Alligator mississippiensis: one gene and its partner. The protein of the gene in region 2 purifies or fractionates together with the protein of the main gene of each other region. This does not show direct contact. Links are inferred from orthologs where the notes say so. Each region holds a gene or a part of one and is shown on either strand. Other genes may lie near its edges.

Region 1 (11,571 bases), on a different chromosome or scaffold from region 2:
TCACTGGCTGTGCTGGAAAAAAGTTAAGGAAGGTAACAAATAATTTGTAAGTAAAAGTTGAAGTTTTTCCCATAAAAATAAAAGTAGAGTTTTAGAGAGTCCCTAAAATTATGTTCTAGGATCAGTAAAAACAAAAACCCAAAACAAAAACCCTTCAACTCAAAACTGCAGAAAATTGAATGGCTTTCTTCAATAGGTTTTGGATCTAACCCCAAGAATGAGCAAGTCATATCATCCATGTAAATTATGTTGCTCTTTGGTAGACAGAGTTTAAGGCCATTGAAATAGTAGCCAGGTTTTGTTAATTCATCACACATGCATTACATTGTAACAGTAATTTCTCAATCACTAAATATTGCATTAAGATAATTATGGACCCCCAAGTCCTATAATTAAATGATACCATGAATGATTGTTAAGAAATGATAGGCTTCATTTTCCCCAGTTGGAGTTTTACAGCCATGTATTAAAGGAGTTGCACATGAACCCAACCTATTGTATGCACAGTATGTCAATTTGATTAAATTCTACTTGGAAGAAGAATTTTTAGAAAATTTCACTGAACCTGCACTATATTCTCATTACATTTCTGACATTTTAATCATCTAGACAGAACAGCTGGACTCACTTATTGACTTCCACCACAGGTTTATTGACTACCACTTTTCAGTCAAATTCTCTCTTACACTAATATCAGCTTTCTAGATATTGTGATCTACACCCAGAATGGCAACCTACAATCCACTGTATACAGAAAACCCATGGACTGCCACATTTACATCCACAAAACCAGCAATCATCTCAAACACACCAAAAAGCTGTAATCTAGTCAGGCCTTCAGATACACACATCTGCTCTGAGGAAAATACATGCAACACTGATCTTGCCAAAATGAAAAAACTGTCATTACCCAGTAAGCACACTGCAGCAGAGAACACTGGTTCCAAGTTCATCACAAGCAAACTCCCTATTGATTAACAGGCACCTAATGGGACCCAGCCCTGCCACAAAAGTAAATCCAAGACCTCTGAACTAATTTCTATTGTCAAAGAATCAATACTCCCCATAGTAAAACCAGCAGAATCCAAGGGTCCTCCCTCATCCAGTGCACCAAATGCCCTCACAAGAACTACATGGGTGAAACCAGAACAAAGAGTGCCATGCACCAAATGAACGATCACCAAAGAAAGATAAAGGACATAGACACTAGAACACAGGTAAGAGAGAAGATTTTTAAAGAATAATCATTCCCTGTCTGACGTCACAGTTTTTGTACAGTACTTAAAGGTTTTTTGTACATTTCCATTAAAAGACATGCCTGAGAACAATTGGACAAGAAGAACCAGGGGCTTAACATAGACAGTGACTTTATAATCCATTATAACCTGTTTGATATTCACTAATCTCACTTACTTCACAGGTGATAATGACCCTCCTGAACAATGCTGTTCATCCACTCATCAGGTTCTTAACATCTCTTTTTTTGTTAGCTACCTTACATTTTCCATTGTGTCCTGTTTTACACTGCTATTTACTGTCCTGTTCCATCTGCTATTTAACTGCAGTGCCTGCTTCTCTTCTAGACACCCTAGGAAGGGTACTGTGATACCCAAGTCTACAATCTATCCTAACCATGCAGTTGGTTCAATAAGAGGTGTGCTGCCCTCCTTTTAAAGAGATAACACTTAATCATTCAATTTTCCCTCCTAAATCTTGCAAGTTAATGCTAATACAGTAGTGTGTGTATGGGGATGGGAAGAGAACCTTTGCAATTTTATAGGAACAGAAGAGCGCATCTCTTGCTTTAATTATAGAGTGGAAATTCATATAACTTCATACTAAGTCAGCTGGTCTGTAGGTTTACAACTCAGTTAGCCATTTAGCCACTTAAAGTTTGATCTGTAGAAATATTTTTATTCCCAGATGAAAGACGATCAGTACTGGCTAATTTAAGACACTGCTTGATTAAGGGTCAACCCTCAGTTCATCAATATTTAATAATCCTGGTTCATTTACTAGTCTTTCTTGAGTACACGCCGTAGACAAATGAGTAAATTGCTTTAAACTTTTAGCATAAAAACAAATTTTAAAATCTAGATCCGAGATTCCCTGACCAACGTAAGTAAATGTAAATCAGCACTTCAATCATTTATTTATTTTTAAAAACAAAGCAACAGTTATTATAAACATCATTAAAACTAACTTTGACTATCAAAGCTGACTATCCTTAAGGGGTTCTGTGCAAAGCAACAGCATTAATCTCTTTCCTTATGGACATCAGGACACACAACTTTGCCTAACAATTGATCTCTCCCTCCTCATTGCCTCCAGCCTGCCTTCTATTTGCTGGTTTGTGAAGTTTTCCCTGGTACACCTTAAAAAATTGGAATGCCAGAGGGTGGAGATGAAGTTTTACTTGCCAGCTAGAAACCAAAGGAAAATAGGATGATCTCACCTCTGCTACAGCCTGCTGTAGTCAGAGTCTGAAAGGACTTCAGGTGGAAAGTTACAATTGTGGAGTGTATCCTTGCTCAGTTGCACGAATGAATCGCAGAAGTTCTAGAATTTCAAGGAACTAGATCAGAGGTCAGCCTTTTAGCAGTGTCTGGTTGAATTAACAGAGCTTAGTCAAAAGGTGTTTTTTGGATCTAGCTGCTGTCGTGTGCGACCAATTATTCTACTGCTGAATGCTGCCAATTCCTCCTACCACTATCCCAGCTTTATTGGCTAGATACAGTCTCTTTATGGGCTGTATTGGGTCCAGGGGCCATCAATTGCTAACCCCTGAACTAAACAGATACATTTGTCACTGAAGCCTAAAGCTAAATGCCGAGATACTGTGATGACTTACCAGAGACAGATAGCTTAATACCAGGCTATAGTTTGTGAATCCAACTATACATGGGTTGTATAGTAAATAAAATATTGAAGGAAAAAGATCCTAAATGAACTACACGACTGTTTCAGAACCGACTGCCTTGTAAGACTATGCCCCCCCTGCAAATCAGAACGTTTTCCTGCCATCCAATATGACAACTCTCCTATTTTAGGTTTGCGCTGAAAAATGTGAGTGTACACATATAAATGAATGTATCAGTCAGTTAGCAGCATGCTAGCTCCCTGCCTCTGATGGATGCAGTCCCACCCTTCTATTGTTACACTGAGATGTGCTGTACAAAGCCTACACCTAAAAGAATAGACTGAACAGAATTGTGAATGATATCATATAAAAATAAGATATTTGAGAACAGACTATCCCTAAAACACTATTTGATCAAGGCCTGCTTCTGTTGAAAAACTAGTGGAGGTTTTACAGTGAAATTCAGTGAGCAGGATAGACACCCAGCATTAGATTGTTGCAGTAACTATAAAAATGATTTCCATTTTGGCATGAGAATAAACACGGAATAAGAGGTTAACTTGACAAATACCTTACCTCATCCCTTGCCAGTCTGCTACACCAGTTCTGTTTCCTCACCCCTTTCAGTCCCTTACTATCTGCTCCACAGCTCAGCAGAGCATTACTTTGCACTGATGTATATACTGATCCCAGAATGCTGTGGGCTACTGTCACCATGGTTGCAGTAGGGAAGCATTTTAAGTAATATGTGTAAAGTTTGTTATTTCAGAAGCCTAATAAGATAACTGCTAGATAGATTAATAAGGCCAAATTCAGTCCTGGTGTACATAGGTGCAAGGCCTTTGAAATCTCAGGCAGTATTTGACTTATTGACCATAGAATATTCTATTTAAAATGATAAACATTTCTTCTGCACATACTCTCTTCCTCCAAATTTTTATTGAAGTACAATTTCTGACAGGATTAATACTAGAGGCTTGATTGTTAAAGTCTGCTAGGGAAGCCGAGTGGCTAGGACATGAGATAGTTTGAAGAGCGAAAACTGAGCATTCTACCCCCCTTGAATAAGATGACAAGGTTTGTTTAAAAACATACATTGTGGCTTGTGATTAATATAGTGGTTGATCAAGGTCTCCTAACCACATTTTTATTTTTATCTGTTTACATATTTTGTTTAGTCAATTAACAATCTAAGCCTATGAAACAGTTTGGACTGGAAGGAAGGAAACATAACATTTTAATTTTTGGGAAGTCACAAAAGTGTGTTGATGCTTCTACATTAGTTGTAAATTAACACCATTCTTACAAGCTATATCCAACAAAAGCACTATACTACTCCTTCCTGCATATGACTCTTTTTATTTATTATTGTTATTAAATATTCACAGTGTTCTGTAAATCAAGATAAGTTTTATTGAATGTTTTTATAGACTGTTGCAGTCTGCATCTGAACATGTGCCGCCCCCCCCCCCCCATTCTATGCATGCATTCATTCAATACATATATACAAGCATACTCATTCACAAACCTTAAAGGTGCATGTGTGAACTTAAAATAAATGCTTTTCACATTTTCTGAACACCCACCATGTTTCTCTTTAGTTTAAAAGGGATTAAAAGAATCACTAACTCATACAATTAGAGAAGCACAGACCTCTTGTAAAACTGCAATAATACATACCCCCTGAAGAGGAGTGTCTTTGTATTCTGAATCCTGGAGTTGTGCAGCTTATAGTTTGACAGATTGTAAGCGCCACATATCTTTTTTTGGACATTTTTCATTATTATATCTTATCCTTCAATTATAGTGGCAAATATTGTTGGTATGAGCTGGTTGTTGCTTTACTATAAATACTGTAGTTGAAAAGAGGCATAAGGTCTGCAGCTGAACAAGTTTAGTGAGATGAATAATTTATTCTGGAGGCATAATATATTAGGCAAGGTAATTTAAGCAAGCCTGAAAGGAATACAAGTAATTAATTAATTATCTCTAGAGCACCTGATTGACATTTGCTAATTCAGCTAAGTGCTGAAGATCAATTTCTATAGCAAATCATTTGACGTATTCAGAGATATTACAGGAAACTTATATTTTACTCTGAGTTATGCATAATTGTCCCAGTTTCCTTTAAGTTTTTAGAATACTATTCATTTATGCTTGTTGTACGTACTTGATTTCTGAAAAAGCAATATTATTTTCCTCCTATCTTTTGTATGTATGTAATTATTAATTTTATTTATTTTTATTAATTTTAAATAGAATATGAAACTTTGATGAATAATATGAAAGTTCTTATAACCTTTAAGGCAATGTCCATGTGTTTTCCGTAGGTTTGGGGAATGAAATTAGTTTACCAGAGTAGGTACCAACCAGTTCCCACTGCCTCCCTTCAGATATCTGCAGATTATATTTCACAGTAGATTAGAATTTCTACATTTGAATGTGTAAAGAGGAACTCCAGGGATCAGAAAGGATGCCACAACTGAGAAATCTGGAAAAACGTGTGCCTAGAATGGAGATTCTTTTACTGAATTTTGCAGTTGCTAATAAGCCCAAGTTATTTAAGTCTTAAGATGTCCCAAAATATCTTGTAGAAGTTAATTACTTTCATAATGAGAATTAGTCCTAAAGCATTACATCACACTAAAATCCATGCATTTTAGTATTATTACCTTTATTTAAAGGATAAGGCTTGACATGCCATGCTCTATTGGTCCCAGAAGAACTTGTAAATCCAGTTAAGAACCTGAGGCTTAGCCTGGGTACTTAGTGGCTAATTTTTCCCCACCTCCTCAGGTACAGTGGGTTTCAAGTGAAGCAGAACTTGAATGGGTCAGCATCAGGCAATGTGTATATGTGTATGCAGAATTTGTAAAGAAAGTGCACATTCCTACACCCTATGAATCATCACAGAGGCTCCCCAAAGCCAGTGCCAGACAGCTATATAGGGATGGGTAGGAAAAGAGGTAGGTAGGTTAGTTAAGGGAATGGACCCATTACTGTGCATATGCATCAGATACTGTTCAGATCTAGCCACTGAAGCTACTCCACCCCTGAGTTCTGTTGTCGGACTGAGCACTAGGGACAAGATTTACCCTAATGCATTGTTAATCCTTTTAGTCCAGTAAAGGTAGGTAAAGCTTTCTTTACAATAAAATGAAAATCAATCAAGAAAAAAAAATCCTTGCCTTTTCTGAATCTCTGATTTAAGAAAATACTTGGGCCCCATTGTGAATATGATGATGACAACACTAGACACATTGTTTTTTTTTTTTACTAATTTACTTCATGACTTCGTAGACAAAGGCAATTTGATGGAGCTACATGGATGGCAATACCAGCATCTCTGCTCCTTGTTTCATGCTACCCAAGACCTTATTGACAAACATTTTAGAGACCTGTCACCACTGGTCAGAATGCTAGTGGCTTACTTCTCCATCCCATATTCTCTACAAGAGCGTTCTGGACCAATGTCAAACTTACGTAGATGGATGGAGTCTTTGCATACAACAGAGCTGTGAATCGCTGTTAACCAAAACAGGTTTGATTTTGAAACTATGGGATGGTGGGTAGGGAATTTTTATTTGTTGTTGCTAATACTTGTATTCTTTATCTGTGAAATAAAGACTTCCAATTCAGTAACCAAGGACTAGAGTCAGGTCTTTGTTTTCCAAGACAGAAATCTGATCCTCAGATCAATTTTGAACATATTTTGTGGGTAAGCAGCAGGTAAAGTCTACTTTCTGCAACAAAAAAAGGGGGGGGGAAGAAAAAAAAGAACAACGTGTAATTAAATTATCCAGTTTACATCTGATAAAGTGATATGCAAATAATAAAGATTTTCTTTTAAAGGAAGACAGGTAAAACACTTGTGAAAAAACTGATCTTTAGTCATGCATAACTGCATCAATGTGGTATCCTATGTCAGTGATACTTTTTTGCCTCTTAATTATAACACACAATACTGCAACACAAATCCTGTGTTTGTAACAGACCAACCACCACGAGCTACCAATACTGTCTCCTGCTTTATTAAGTTCTCCTAAAAACAGTCACCAGTCAGAAAACAACACAGCTCTCCTGCAAGTTACAAATCTTGATCGTTAAGTAAATCTGCTGCTACTAGAAGAGAAATTCTACTAAGCTTCCCTTGTACAGGTCTGCAGCGCATGCTTTTTTTTCGTGTCAAAAAAATAGGTGTGCACCAAAAATTCAGTTTAAATTTAGTTTCTCTTTAAAGTTATTACCCCTTGAAGTCTTAAATATTACAGTAGGTTGGGAACGCGTGCTATTCAGTTATATGCTTAATGCACTGCAGCTCCCAAAATATGACTTCAGTTTGTCTTACACTGCCATCTCCTGGTCCAGAGGCTTAGTTTGAAAAAACCAATACATCTGAATGGGAACGAAGCTCTGCTAGGTGGCAGCACCGGAATAACATGCAAGCCTTTCGAAACTGATGGTTTCTTCTGTATGAGAATTGACTCCTTCTTCCTCTGGCTTTCACCTTTACCCTGCGTCGAGGAGGAGCACCCTGCACAGGCATGGTGGGCTGGTTAGCCCCCAGAGACAGCGCAGAGGGTGGGGATCCGGCAGCACACCGAGCCTGGGGCGTTTGTGCTTTCCACGTGGCCGCAGTGAGGCGCAGCCGGGCGAGTGAAGCAGAAAGCACGTGTGCCAGGACCCGAGGGAAGCCGCGGCAGGACAAGGACAGTCGCTATCCCGGGGAAGGAGGCGCTGCTTTGCCCCCTGGCCATCGCCTGACTCGGGGAGTTGTTTGATGGGAGCTTCATGTCCCCAGACCTGCCCTCGGAGCACAGGGAAGGTGGGCTGATCAGAGAGCAACTCTTGGGATACATTGCTGCTAAGCGAGGCAGCATGAAACTAGAGGACGTGGGTTTAGAGCAATATATTTAGGCTGAATGGACTTACTAGAGCTGTTGCATATTCACTTCATTCATTAGCCTGATTTTTTTTTCTTGACTACTTTCCCCCACCCTGCATCTGTCCAGGCAATCTGAACACACGTTCTCGCTCACCCTGACCGGTGGGCAGAAAAGTTATGGTCAGGCATCATTTTAAATAGCACAAAGCTTTTAAATGAAAAATCCCTGGCCGCTTTGGAGGAATGCTGCTTCCTTTCCCTTGGCCGTATCCGTCATTTCTGACAAGTGGATAATAATGAAAAAAGAAAATACAAAAAAAAAAAAAGTATAAGCAATAAAAAGACCACTTGGTAGTAGCTGTTTAGAGCTTATTTTCCAAGTAGAAACACGTCTTTGAACTCTAGTATCATGCTTTTGCATTTAAGTCTCAATAGCACAAACTGTGAGGCATATACTTAGTTTAGACATCTGAATAATCCCTTTGATATCAACTAGTGTCATGTTAAGCAAGGGTATGACTGCAGTATCAGGATCAGGGCTATACGACCCAAGCTCTTCAGGACAGATAATGGGTCTTTGTTAGTTTGTACAGTACAATAATGCCTGCTCTGATCTGGGTGCTACTGCATTATAAAAAATAAAGAATCATTAATAACAGCTGAGCTCAAACAATTTAGTTGTATTATAACTGGATCTCCTTTATTAAACAAACCTGGAAAATTATAGTTCATGAAAAAATTGAATTTTATTTTACATACAAAACTTCCTTCCCCACTCCTAAACAGCTCTCATAGCCCCTTCATCTATTTTCTGACAAAACATACCAAGCATTTGGTACTATGAGAGAGAACTGATTATCCTAAAATATGTAACAAAGGATTAACACTGAAGCTGTTTTTTATGAAACTGCTTTGTGTAAGTATACACTTATGGATATAGTTTGATTAGTTATTTCTGATTGACATTATAAAGCCTGCACAACTGGGTACCAACAGAGTAATGTTGCTTTACCACTGCTTGGTAGTTTTAAGCGTGGGGATTGGCTGGTTGATGCATCCTATTCTACATCCTGAAGAGCCTGTTTTGGAGGGGAAACAGCAGCTATAGCAATCAAGTTGGTTTCTTCTATTGATCCCAGGAATAATGAATGATACCAGCTTTAGAAGCTGCACCTGGAATATCTCCTTTTACTTTATTTTAGTAATTTTGCATGGAAGGGATTGGTTATAAAATTAAACATACTAGAAGGAGATCTGGTTGTCTTTTGGCTGAGTCATTATCAGCAGGAATTAAGCTTGCATTTTCTGGATCTAAAAGCATTAGCTTCCACTTCCAACAACACATCACCAGTCCTGCAGCTGAAAAGCTGTAGCTGACTTAAACTTCTGTACATAGGCTAACCACAGCACAGTAGTATAGTGAAGGTGGGAAGTGGGGGATGACAGCCATGTTATTTAGGTGTAAGTTATATTTGCTGAAAGAATATTCCTAATTGTGCATTGATACAGGACAGAATGTAAGGCTGATGTTCTTTATTTCATATTTTAGGAGTGTCAACAACTTATAAGACTTATAGGAGTGGCACCTGCCTTGCCAGCTGGAGGTGGTATACTGCTCTGACCATTGACAAGAAGCCCTGAGATAACAGAGGAAGGTAAAAGTACAGGAACAAGTGTTAAACAAAAGCAAAAGGATCGGTGTCGAGCAAAAAAGACGAGAGGGAAAATCGTACTTTAAGGACTAAATTCTCTACTGATATACCTGGACCCATGGAGAACAAAAACGGAGCTGTGCACAATTACACCAGGAGAAAATATGGGACATAGTATTTTCTAATGGATACATTCATAGTTGCAAATGTATTTAGTGACAATAACACAGACATGTAGTTGTAAGGGTACATTTCTGAAACATGGTGGATACTTATTGGGATATTTAAGCAGCCAAGTAGCTTCACTGACCTTACATTTTCTGCTGTTTCCCATTGCTTTTTTGATCATTAACCCATATGACAATATGTGATTATTTTGATTTTTTTCCAGATGTGAATAGAAAAGATTGATGTGCATGTAACTCAGATACTGAAAAGCACTGGCAGGTGTTATCCATATACCCCAGGTGTTACTGTTGCACCACTGTTATTGAGGACGAGTTAGGCTTTTCAGTCCTTTCCAGAGGCTCAATTCTGGTTGACCTATGAGTTTGATATCAAAACTGCTACTTACAGCTGCTGCAACTGAAACCACCTTGATAACATGCAAGAGGAATGAGATTTTTGAAGGATATGAAAGAGGGAATAGATGACTAAGAGAAAGAGAGTGGGATAATAAAGGAGAAGAGAAAAGGAAGGTAAAAGTGTGTTGAAAGCCTCTGGGTTAGGGTAGGAGGAGTGAGCAACAGGGTGATGTGGTGGGTGTCTGCTATAGACTACCAGACCAGGAGGATAAGGTGGATGAGGTTTTCTTCAAACAGCTAGTGGAAGTGTCCAGATCACAGTCCCTGGTTCTTTGGGGGGAGAGACTTCAATCTCTTTGATGTCTGCTGAGAGGGCAATACAGTAGTGTGCAGGCAATCCAGGAAGTTTTTGGAGAGTGTTGGGGACAACTTCCTGGTGCAAGTATTGAAGAGGCCAATTAGGGGCTCTGCTCTTCTTGATCTGCTGCTCACAAACTGGGAAGAATTGGTGGGGAACATAGAAGTGGATGGCAACTTGGGCAGCAGTGACCATGAGCTGATTGAGTTGGGGATCCTGAGGAAAGGAAGGAGAGCAGCAGAGTAAGGACCCTGGACTTCAGAAAAGCTGACTTCAAGTTACTCGAGGAACTAATGGGCAGAATTCTCTGAGAGGCCAGTTTGTGGAGGAAAGGAGTCCAGAAGAGCTGGCTGTACTTCAAAGAAACCTTACCAAAGGCATGGGAACGAACCATCCTAATGTGCAGGAAGACTAGCAAGTACAGCATAAGACCATCTTGGCTTAGCAGGGAACTCTTCAATGAACTAAAACACAAAAAAAGAAGTTTACAAGAGTGGAAATTTGGACAAATGACTAGGGAAGAGTGTAAGAGTATTGTTTGGGTGTTCAGGGATGAAATCAAGAAGACCAAAGCGCAACTGGAGTTGTAGCTAGAGGGAGTTGTAGCAAGCGCAACTGGAGTTGTAGCAAGAAGGCTTTCTACAACTATATCAGCAATAAGAGGAAGATCAGGAAAGTGTGGGTCCCATACTAAACTGGTAAAGGATTATTTAGATTACTTAGATGCTTTCACATTGGCAGGTCCAGATTGGAAACAGGCTAGGACATTGAAGGAATCGTGTGAGGTAATTTCAGAGCCATTAGTTTTTTGAGAATTTGTGGAGGTCAGGTGAGGTCCGGGATGATTAGAAAAGGACAAATATAGTGCCCATCTTTAATAAAGGGAATAAGGAGGATCTGTGGAATTACAGAGCAGTCAGTCTGACCTCAGTACCTGGAAAGATCATGGAGCATGGTCCTCAGCAAAGTCATTGTGAAGCACCTAGAGGAGAACAAGGTGATCAGGAACAGTTGGCATGGATTCACCAAGAGCAAACCACAGCTAGCCAACCTTTTTCCTTCTGTGATAAAGTGACAGGCCCGTGGTTGCGGGGAGAGCAGTGGATGTGATATACTTTGACTTTAGCAAGGCTTTTGACAATCTCCCACAATATTTCCATTGACAAGCTAAGGAAACAGAGGCTAAGTGAAAGAACTGTAACGTGGTTATATAACTAGTTGGATCATTGTGTTCAATGAGTAGTTCTCCATGGCTCAATGTATAGCTCAGAGGAGGTATCAAGTGGGGTTCC
Region 2 (11,735 bases):
AGTACTAGATACACCCCTACTCATCCTGCTTGAACTCTCCAGAGCATATGATAACACTGAGCACCAAACTTTCAGTCCTAACATTTTCACCTGAACCTGAAGGGTCATCCTGGTACCCTGTTCCTGTGAAACAACAGCCATCAACTCTAGAGTCCCACAGAACCTTAATCTCTCCTGAACCTATATTAGGGTCCATGGAAAGGTCCTATCAACAGGACATAAATGAGATGAAACTCTATAACTGTTTGCATATCAAACATAAATAGTACCATGTCTCCCTTTCTTTGTTGCTATGCCAAAATAGATACTTGGATGAAGAACAGCCAGATAACAAGAAAGGCTGATAAAAAATGATGATGGTGCTTCCTACTTTCACAACTCAATGTTAAATGCTACTTTCAACATAGTTTATTTTATTTCTGTGTATGAAGAACATAATGAGAGAGAGCCATTTCTCCCAATGCCTGAGAAGGCACTTAAGATGCATTCAAGTACTATGGTGATGGCAACCATATAAAAAACACCTCAGCTCATCTAATCCTATCAAAATCCATGCCCCACACAAAAGAGCACCTCAGTTCTCCAATTTATCTATTATACATCCAAGTCTATAAAATAAATAAATAAATAAATCAAAGCACTAAATAACGCCTCAGACTTTCTATACCAACGGTTCCCAAACTGACAGATCATGTACTACCAGTTTAAAACGATACAACCTGAAGTACCACCAGAAAATTTTTGTCATATAAAGTAATTATAATAAATCTTTTAATGTGTACCACTGTCAGGCTGCCTGCGTACCACTGGTGGTACTCATACCACAAATAACTGCTGTTCTATACCTGTCAGCTATCCAGAGCCTGGCTTCCTTGCAACAAAAGAATCAGTACACAGCAATGGCTATGTAGGATCAGACCACCCTGTTCATCACCTGGAATACCTAACAGAGCTTCCTAACTTCTAACCAAAGTTGTTCCGAGTTTTTTCTCCAAATGTATAGAAACTGATGGATGCTTCCAACTTTCTAACAGTTGGCCTCTCCAAGCCCCTGTCTGCAAAACGATGTAGGACCTTTTCTTCTCAGTTGCTACTAATAGCTACTGCCTCCAGTTGGTAGAGACGGTCACCTTGATCAACCCCTGGCCCAGCCACAGAGTGAACAATGGATGTACTAGGGAGTAGATGGGTTGGGAAGGATGAGAACCCAAGGAATTTCAGGCAGAGACAAGACCAGAAGAAAATTACAGGCTGCACATAAAAAACAAAAAACTGGAGGAGTGTAAGAGAAGACACAAAGATGGAAGCAGGACTGCTGGAGACATACAAAAACAGAGATTGCTGCTGGCTGCACACACAGTAAGACATAAATTCGGCTCCCCCTACTGACAGAAGATGGCAAGTAGAGAGGTTAAAAAAAAAAAAAATCTACACCAGAAAAATCATTATTGCTGAATACCTTCCTAGAAGGGAATGCAAGTGTATTAGGGAGGCCACACGCCTTACAGTGTTATAAGCACAGACTTGGAAGTTTGTAAACATGTATTGAGGGGTTTAAGAAAAATTATCATTATTGTTCTTCATCAGTTCAGTTTCTTTGGAGCTACAGAAGCTCAATGAGATCAATGCATGCAAACGACCACATCACTTAGAAAAATAAATTAAAACTTCCTGGACAGACTAGCTATTTTCCTAACAGAATTACAATATCTCTAATTAGCTCCTATAGAACAGCAGACAACATCAGCCCACACTACCTACTGTCTTCAAAAGTCTAGTTAAAACAGTAAGGCAGATCTTCAGCTGGTGTAAGTCCATATGACTCCGGAAAGCAAGAGAGCTGAGCTAATCTATACCACCTGAGAATCTAGCAGTGATGTTTAAGTTAGGTAAGCAGAGAAGCAGTTAGCCGTGTTCATAGATTCATAGATGTTTGGGTTGAAAGGCACCTCAACAGATCATCGAGTCCGACCCCCTGCCTAGGCAGGAAAGAGTGCTGGGATCAGATGACCACAGCCAGATGCATATCCAACTTCAGTGTTCATTCAGTCAGATGCCTATCTGACTTCAGTGTTAGTCTGAAGTCAGAAGACAAGGTTGATATGCACCTTTATAGACTAGTTAAATAAGATGATATAAATGTGCACAAGCTTTCATGAGTAGAAGTTTACTTTATCAGATGTACAAAAGTTTGTGCCCTATGCATGTGCACACACCCCCTTTAGTCAGTCTATAAAGGTGCACACCTATGCTACCTTCCAAGTTATGTAAACTCAGATATTAATCTCATTTCTTTTTTCCATTTCCATCATTTTTTTTTTTTTGAGAGAGAGAGGATAGAAGTTCTCTCTCTTTTTCTGGAGAAAACAGGATGAACAGTAACATTTTAAGTCACAGAATAAGGCTTAAAATAACAGGTTTCCAAATAGAACAGCAGCATAAATATCATTTACATCTCAGGAGATTCAACCATTCCTTCTACTACTTAAATATCTTTACCTACACCCAACATTAGAGTAGAACTTCTTAGCACTTGAAAAGACTTTAACTATGAATTTCAAAATAATTTTGGATACTTCTGTTTTTGGATGTATAACTTGGGACACCTGAAGGAGGATGAATACTGAAGCACATTAATTTGATTTGGGTGGTTTTGTTTTGTTGTTGGTTTTGTTTTGTTTTTTGGGGCGGAGAAGATAGGATAGAAACAACTCCCTTGAAAATATTCTAAATCAGGTCCCCAAAAATCACTTTTGAAAAATGTTGGTCATTGGTCTAATGGATTCTCTCATGGTTATAGCGTACTTACATGGAAGTCTACGTTCCATGCCTGTTTTTCCAGCTTCTTAGGTAGGGTTAATACTGCTTATCCATCTACATACAGCATTCAAAACTTCAGGCATGGAGTAAGACCATAAATTACTGTGGTCATCCAAAGTCACCCCCACCACCAGACCTAACTCAGCTTCCAGTATTAGGATTGGTCCTTCAAATGACAGATATGCCAGCACCAACTGACCCAGCCTGTTCAGACTAAGAAGCTTCAGCATTATGCAAAATTCAAAAATGTTTTTTTATGACGCACTTTGCCTTCAGACACGGGATTTTGTATTTTTCCCTAACTAAGCAAACTCAAGACATCCATCTCAGTTCATTTTTATTTTATTATGCAGATGTAGCATATGCAAATTGCTCAAGGGTTATGTCAACACTTTACAAGTTCTAGATTAAAAAAACATTAATTTTTCATGCATACATTTGTAGGCTTCTGATGAACAACAGAACTGATCCACTGCTTCACCAATTCACAACCATCACATTGCTCCACTTTCAGGTACATTACAGACACTGCACTCAGTTTAGCCTCTAACATTTGTTGCTTTAGCCTCTTTTCACTTGACTAAAAATAAGAGTGATAACAGAGACACACATACACAATGCACCATGAGGCTTAACAGAATGTGATGAAGGACCATGTCCGTAACAGAATCAGGAAAGGCAAAGATACAACTGCCTCTACAGTATAGACGTAACATGTCTCCTGCCATATTCTGTGGCACAACCGATCTACCTAATATGATGGAGATGAGGAAGAAAGTAATAATAATTTGGAATAATTAAGAAGTAAAAGGTTTTAAATGCAGATTAGAAACAAGCCATTAGCCCATTAAAATGCAGCCTACTGTATCGTTCTCAAACCAACAGGAAGAATAAAGTAAAGTAATTTGGGTCAATTGGAAGAATAAAAGCCACTTTATAAAAGAAAACATGCCACGTCTAATATTTATTATCCCTTTATGTTCTTGGATTCAGACACAAGTTTGCTTGTTTAAAACACACACACACACACACACACACACACCAGCAGCAATAGCAGCCACCACTTTTGATACATCCGTAGAGTCACTGTGGATATGCCTCAAGTATCACAATCCAGAATAAAGACTGAAAATTTTAGTCTTCAGTGCTTCATATACGCAACAAAAAACCCTAAATTAAGTACGCAAAACTTAATTATTAGAGCTATTTAATAACCCTCCTATCAATTCAAGAAAAAAGAAGTTGTGTAAAGTGATGACTGGCTAGCATGCAATTTCCAGTACAGGAACTGGTATTACGAATTTTCATCCACCGAATGCGAGTCTTCTGAAATGTATCTTAAGGTCTTGAGGACCAGCTCCATCTGCCTGGCTCATCTTGAGGCTGATTAGTCACATTGTTCCCAAGTCAATGAACAGTTCTACTGACTTCCATGGACTGCACACAGGATCAAGCATTAGTCAGTGTGGAAGCAAACAGGTAACAGAATCAAGCCTGGAATAATTATTCAAACAAGTGCTGACACATAGTTTAAAGTGCCCTGTGCAGAGCAAAATTTATTTGCTCTGTAACGTGGTAGGAATAAAGAGTTCTCAACACTTCATGGCTTGCTCTCCAAAAACAGTAATGAATGAACAGAACACATGCACAGGTCAAACACATTCATTAAAAATAGATACAGGTCAGTCAAGATGGCAAGATTTATAGTCCCTTGGCTAGGTAGGTTTTTTATCTGTTAGGGGGGGAAAAAAAGCAACTGAAAAGAGTTTACATATTGCATAAAACATGCAGCACACACACCTCCCCGATGCAGCTGGGTAAGATTTTTCCTCTGACAGATGCAGAGCAGCAAAACAATTAACAAAACAGCAGAAAGCCAGAGGCTGTGGGAAATTTACTGTGGTTGACTATGCCAATCAGTTTGGTTGGTCTGGAGGCCAAAAGGTGGGAGAGCTCAGTGCAGTTGCCCTTTTCAAGAAGTCAGATCATTCGGCAGCCCGACTACACTTGCTAAGCCCAAGAAAACACGCTCTCTGCTTGCTCCCTTTTGCCTCAGCACAGGCTGTCGGGGACAGCAGAGGGATGTATAGGGCAGGGATTCCCAACCTGGGTGCTGGGGCACCCTGGAGTGCCTTGAGATCCTTTCAAGGGTGCCAAAGGATGCCATGCAACAACAGCATTGTTAGGACATAAGATGAACCCCAAGACTGCAAAGAGGACTCAGCCAGGATGCTGTGACACCCTAGGGTGCCTGGAGATCTTTTCAAGGGCACCATGGGTTGCTACACACTAGTGCTGCCAAGCGAGCAAAGGTGATCACAACTCACAAGACAACCCCAGAGACTGCAGAGAGGGCTCCATGGGGTTAAAACCACCCAACCATCCCCAGTTCTCAGCAACAAGGGAAAGAGGCTGGTATTTCCCAGTTGCCAAACAACGGAAGAGAAAACAAAATAGTGGCATGGTCCGTGGGAGGCTATCCAGGGGCACTTTCAGGCTTCAAAAAGGCACGAGGAGGCCCTGGGCAGAGAGGCGGGGGCAGGTGAGAAGCCAGGGGGCAGTGAAGGCGGGGTGCTACTCACACGGTGAAGTGGTAGACGAAGCACTTCCAGCCCGTGGGTCTCTCCAGGAAGTTATAGACCCTGCCCTGGAGGTTGCTGCGGCTCAGCAGAGGTCTGCGGATGCTGTAGATGGAGACGCGGGGGTCCAGGCTGAGCGGCGCCGGGGTCACCACCACCACGTCGCTGTGGAGCTGGCGGTCGGGGCCGTCCCGGGCCCCCGGCGGGCAGGCGGAGCCCTGGCCCTGGCCCTGGCCCGGGTCGCGGGCGGCGGGGATGGGCGCGTAGTGCGCGCCGGGCGCGCTCTCGGCCAGCTCCAGCGCGGGCTTCTTGGCGCAGGGCGGCATGCTGGCTTTGCGGGGCAGCGACAGCCGGCCCAGGCTCCAGCGGCGCCTCTCGGGCTGCGGCTCGGGGCCGGGGGCAGACATGGCGGGGAGCGGCGGCAGCGCTGTCCCCGTGCCCCCCTCCTGCCCGAACCAAAGGGGGGGGCGAGGAGAGGCGGCGCGCTCGCTGGCTCCGGCAGCGCCCTGGCCCGGCCCACTCGGGGCTGGGCTCCTGCGGGGAAGGTGCGAGGTCTCCACCCACCCCGACCCGGGGCCCCGTGCCACGGGCGCCCGCCCCGCTCCCGGCTGGGCGCGGCGCGGTGCGGCGGGCTCCCCGCCCTCCCCTGCGCGCACGCCCCGCGCCACCCAGGTGGCAAGGGCGCTGCGGGGTGTGGGTGTCTGTGTCTGATCTCAGCCCCGGGAAGGCAGCAGCCAGCACAGGCGCTGGACGTCCCTTTAAAGGCAGGGTCCAGGTGGGAGGGCAGGGCTGCACTTGCACCCCGCTCTGATTCCTGCTCTAGCCTAAGTTTGAAGCCTAAGCTGTGGCAGCAGCGCTTCTAGCCAGGCAGCTGGGAGGGGTCAGTCAAGTGCCTTGGTAGCTCATAAGAAGTCTCTGGCTTCCTGCTAAACTCTTCATGCCACAGGTGTTAAGGACCCGCTTTCCTTTTAAATGGTCTGCCTGGGCCCGCTACTTCGCTTCACCTTCCTTTGCCTGCTGTTCCCTGCTCCTCCATCTCGCAGCCCCACGGAGTGGTAACTCTAGCTCCACGGTTCCCAAACTCTGACAGGTTTTGCACCACCCATTTAAAACGCTTCAACCTTCAGCACCGCCAGCAACTTTTGCAGTTCAACCTTAAGTGCCATCCGCAAATTTCTGTCTTAACAGATTGATTACAATTACTTTATAATGGGGTGATATGACCCCGGCACCTGTTCCTGCCCGGGGCAGGGGCTTGGACCTGATGATCTGTTTAGGTCCCTTCCGATCCTAAGTACTATGATACTATGATTTATAACACGTACCACTGACAGGTTGCCTGCATACTGCTGGTGGTACCTGTACCACAGATTGGGAACCGCTGCTTTAGCTAAAAAAGATTAACTCTGGTGAGTGTTACCTCAGGTGAGCATTAGCTCAGGTGCGGAAATTGGTTTCAAGGAAGTGGCACTGTCCAGATGCTCAGGGAGGCTTGGTTTTGTTTCATGAATCCGAAAACCAGACATGCATGCAACTGTGATGACTCCAGGACAAATGAAACTACATCATTGGATTATTTTTGCCTAGTGTGTTGTGGTTTTAGATATAACATATGATAGGATATCGAAATTCCAAATTTTTTGTTTTGCTCCAATCTTAAATGAAATAATACAACTCTAGGCCCATACGTATTAGTAAAGCTTCTAGTTTCTTTTTAACTTAAGCAGTATTGCCAACTTCCATGATTTTTGGTGTTATTCTTAAAGTCTATGTTTCAGGAATGTGAAAAACTTAGCTCATTCTTTTATACATTTATATATAACTATAACTGTATATAAAAGAAAGAGCCAAGTTGTTCACATTCCCAAAGCATAGACTTTAAAAACAACTCTAAAAATCATAAAAGTTGGCAACACTGATTCAGAAAAATGCATGTGGTCTTGTATTTGCTAGACCACACTAGCTGCACCCCCACTTTTCAAAATCCTAGATCTGCCCATGGGCAGGGGTTATAGCCTGACTGTGATTAAACCATCTGTTTTCCCAGAAGGCTAACCTGTGATCCTGTGTCCCTCTGGCCACCTGGGGAAAAAAGGCCCTATCCATCCCACTCACTCAGCTGACAGCCTGCAACTACTTGAAGGGTGGTTACAAAGAGGATGAAGCTAGACTGTTCTCAGTGGTGGCGGATAACAGAACAAGGAGCAATGGTCTTGAGTTGCAGCAAGGGAAGTTTCCATTAGAGATTAGCAAAAAACTTTCTCACTAAGGAGGGTAGTTAACCACTGGAACAAGTACCCAGAGAGATGGTGGAATCTCTATCCTTGGAGGTTTTTAAGACTCGACTAGATAAAGCTTTGGCTGGGATGATCTAGTTGGGGCTGGTCCTGCTTTGAGCAGGCGGTTGGAGTAGGTGATTTCCTGACGTCCCTTCCAGCCTTTGTTTTCTATGTTTCTATGACAGCAACCTATGTGGATATTGGCTTCAGGGGTACAGTTAAGGCTCCGGGGAGAGACAGCAAAGCTCTTCTCTGCAAGGGGGAGAGGGGAGTTAAATAGTAGCATCTTTAAGACTATTGATTTACTTTTACTCTGGACAAATGGACAAAGGCAAAGAATTTTACCTTAGAAGACTGTATTAGGGAAGTGCCTTTCCAAGCTACACCTCTTGTACAAGGCTGTTTCTATAACACAAGGTGGCACACTTGACATTGAGATGAAACTGATAAGTTACTTCTTAGACACGTACATTTTTCTTAGTGTTATCTCAGCCACCAGTGTCTCATCTCTCTCTCAGAGCTTCTCTGACACAGAAACTGTGACTTGACCAGGTTAGAAATGCCCTGGTTTTTTCCACCAGAGAATGCTAAGGGAAGTCAAAATGTCCCAGAAAGGAAGATGGAATCATAACAGAAAGCCAGCTGGGTTCTGATAGAAACCTGTCTAAACATTTCCTAGCTTGCCTGACCAGCTGTGGGGGAGACCATGGTCCCAGGTGGTTTGGTCTTAACAGGCTGATGGAGAGCCAAGGACCTGAAAGCCCTAGGAGCACTAGCTCTTATATGCCTGTAACGCCAGCACCACAAGATACTAATGTGTCAGGCTCATGGCACATTAGTTAGCCTGGGTTCCCAGAGTTTATCATTTTAGACAGGACACCAGTATGCGCCTGAGCCTTGCATCTGCTGCTCCATCCCTCTGACAGCTTCAGAACCTGGAGTGCTGAAATCCTCCACAAAATGGAAAATGCCTTTCTCAACAGAGCTGTAATTGTGAGGTCACCAAGTCATGTTTGCATTTTAACTTGTGTGTAACCATAGCCATCACAACAGGACAAACAAGAATCAGGGCCAATGCTTGGTGCTATTGTATTCCAAATAAAATGAACAAAACATGGAGGAAGAACTAGAGTGTAATAAACTTTGCCCCTCAAACTGAAGACCATAGTTGGCTGTTCCATCACCACCTTTAAAAGAAAATTAAGGGACTCCTGCTTTACATGTTTGGGCTTTTTTACTGTCAGGTTATATGAGGGCTTGGCATAGCTTTTCCAATTAGTGTTTTAAGCAATGACTGACTTCAGTGTGACAAATTGTTTTATACCATGGTTACAGGAACCTATGCTTCAATAATTAGCTTACAATTTCTATTCCTAGAGCTAAAGCTCAGGTTTCTCTTTGATATGAAATGCTTTTTTTACTTTGAGCCAAGGCTAGAACAGAACTAGTTAACAAGCAGAGCTATGCTGAGTTCAGGGGCAATACTGGCAAAACCAAATGCTAAAGTGAGATAAGGTGCTATATCAAGTTAAACAAAAAAAACAGCTTTGCTAATTTTACCTCCATTCAAACTTGCAGCCGAAGTAAAACCAGCATGACTATTGTCTTCCCTGGAATGCCAATTAACACCTGCTGGGTATTTGTACTATTGTTTCAAAGATGAAGAAAGCAAACTGTTGATAAAGAGGAAAATATGCAAAGATTGTTTTATAAGCAAGCAATTAAAACTAAATCTATTTTTAAATCGCTGGCATTTTTTTTCCATGAGAACACAAGACATAAGACACCTTAACAAAACAGCATGTCAGAAGAAAGGATGTCTTCCTTGTGTCTAATTGACATAGAACTCAGCACAGACCCATGTTAGGCATTGTGTGGTCAGATAACCTGTCAGAAACTTGTTGTGAGAAGCATCCACATGCAACTGTTTATCACGCCACCCTTTACTGTACACATCAGAGTCCCCTGCCTGCTAATACATGGGTCCATAGGAACATGAACCCACCTTTGCAGAATCATGGACTTGAGGACACTAAAAGAAAACCAACTCTTGTGCCCCCTCAAATGCTTTAGCAAAAAGTCATTTGATTTTTGGATGAAGGTCTAAGCAAGACGTACTTAAGGATGCAGAAAGGGAAGCTATGGACTTCTATAAATATATTCTCTCTCTCTGGCCTTATGGCTTCTGTTGTCAGGGATTTTCAACACCTATTACCATGTGGGAGGCAGCCACAAAAACCACCTGGATAAGTCTTTGGTTAGACAGTAAGTCTCTTAGAGGGAACTGGATGCACAGTTACTCACAAGAGCAAAGTGCTCAAAACATAGCCAGCTACTTTGTAATAGGATAATTTAAGATGAGTTATAAAAAAAAAAAAATGAAAATTCTGGTACTGCCCTCTGGGGCCCACTGACTGAAGCAACCATAGTACAGTTCTCAAAACTTTGGCTGGAAAATACCCAACCAGTTTTTGTATTAGTTACTAAATGCTGGAAAGCTTGACCTACTTATTATGACTCAAAGGTCATCTCTCAAAGGAAATGTCAAAACTAATGAATAATTAGCACCTAGAATCCAGGCAATAATTAATTTAATTATTATGAAGAGGAGGTCTCCTATTTAATATACAATATGCAAAACTGTCTTCTGGAAACAGTGTAAGACCTTATTAAGGCAGGCATTTAGCAAGCAAGATTAAGTAAGGGAATGGTATAAGGGCAGGGGTTCACAAACTGTGGTACGTGCAAGACATCTCTGGCAAGTACTCAGGAGAAAAATGTGTAGTGGTGGATCTAAATGTCATTATAATAATTGGCATTTAAGAGGTTAAAATATAAAACATAAAAACATATGCTGGTAGAGCTGGTAAATCTGGAAGGGGGTATGCAACAGGAAAAAGTCTGGGAACCTCTGGGATAGGGAGTCTCTGTTATAGATCTTATATGTTGCTTTTGTAAATTATTTTGTCTCTTCTTGTAAGCCTTTGTTTGGAAGGGTGTTGTGTGTGTTATATAAAAAACACACACATTACATTAGATAGATAGATAGATTTCTTCAAAAATAAAGAATTCTATAATTCACATCTATGACATTCTTGTTTTTCACTTCTTGAAAAATATATCTTCTGCATTTTTTCCTATTTTACATAATAAAAAATAATTAAAATGAAAGAATATGATCACCATATAGAAAGCTAAGAATGGAAATAGTAGTTGGAAGAGTGTCAAAAAATTTACTAAGCAAGCAAGCACTGATTTGATAAATAAAGTAATGAAATACTTTGAATAATGAGAATACATACAATTAAATATTAAGGAGGAACTATACCATCATTATCCATCATTATAGTTTCCATTTCTGCTTAGAAAATTATTATTTATGGGCCAAAAAGAATAAAGCAATCATTTAAGAACCAGAAACCAAAGGTTAACAGCTAGGGAAATACTGACAAATACTTTCAAAATGTGCCGTGCTATATGTTTGCATATTGAGAAAGATATTATACCTAGGGTAAAATTTGCAAAAGCAATCAGCACTGGCCTGATTTTTTTCCCACTGAAGCTGATCGTAAAACTCCCAGTTCCATTGATTTCCTGGAAGCAGATATAGTCCAAATGCTTCTGAAAACCTCTTCCTTAGGTTATGGGTGTGTACAGAAGTTATTCTTTTCATGCTATGAGGCCACCAAAAATGCTCTGTAGCCATAACAACAAATATTCAGGGCTGCAGAGTGCTTTAAACATGGAGGATCACATGAAAAGTTAAACCTCATCTGATGTAATGTCAGACGAAGGTGCTCTAGGGCAGAGTGCTTTATTGAACCTGTATACAGATTTACATCGGGCATTTCTACACATACCCCTGGGGGTAGTGGGATTAGCCTGAAACTGCCATTTTTAAGGCACATGAAGGGTGTGTGTCTGCATGTGCCTTAAAAATGGTGATTTTAGGCTAATCTCACCTAAATTTGATACCTGCATAAAGCAAGTAGCAAGTTTAGGCATGATTAACTGAGTCACGTTAGCCTGTGAAGATGCTTAATGCATATTAACACAT

Evidence for each region.
Region 1: the proteins of KCNQ1 (region 2) and AKAP9 purify together in Homo sapiens (affinity purification with western blotting; 3 studies listed by BioGRID and IntAct, with this or other methods). This does not show direct contact. The link is inferred for Alligator mississippiensis from reciprocal best matches to the Homo sapiens genes KCNQ1 and AKAP9.

The regions. Positions count from the first base shown.
Region 1 is NC_081828.1:176,117,294-176,128,864, forward strand, and holds the start of AKAP9 (A-kinase anchor protein 9), read right to left. Parts: upstream 4,684-11,571; 5' UTR 4,635-4,683; coding exon 4,541-4,634; intron 1,623-4,540; exon of another isoform or gene 1,414-1,622; intron 1-1,413. UniProt on the Homo sapiens protein: Scaffolding protein that assembles several protein kinases and phosphatases on the centrosome and Golgi apparatus. Required to maintain the integrity of the Golgi apparatus. Required for microtubule nucleation at the cis-side of the Golgi apparatus.
Region 2 is NC_081825.1:188,959,047-188,970,781, reverse strand, and holds the start of KCNQ1 (potassium voltage-gated channel subfamily KQT member 1), read right to left. Parts: upstream 5,959-11,735; 5' UTR 5,807-5,958; coding exon 5,403-5,806; intron 1-5,402. UniProt on the Homo sapiens protein: Pore-forming subunit of the voltage-gated potassium (Kv) channel involved in the regulation of cardiomyocyte excitability and important in normal development and functions of myocardium, inner ear, stomach and colon.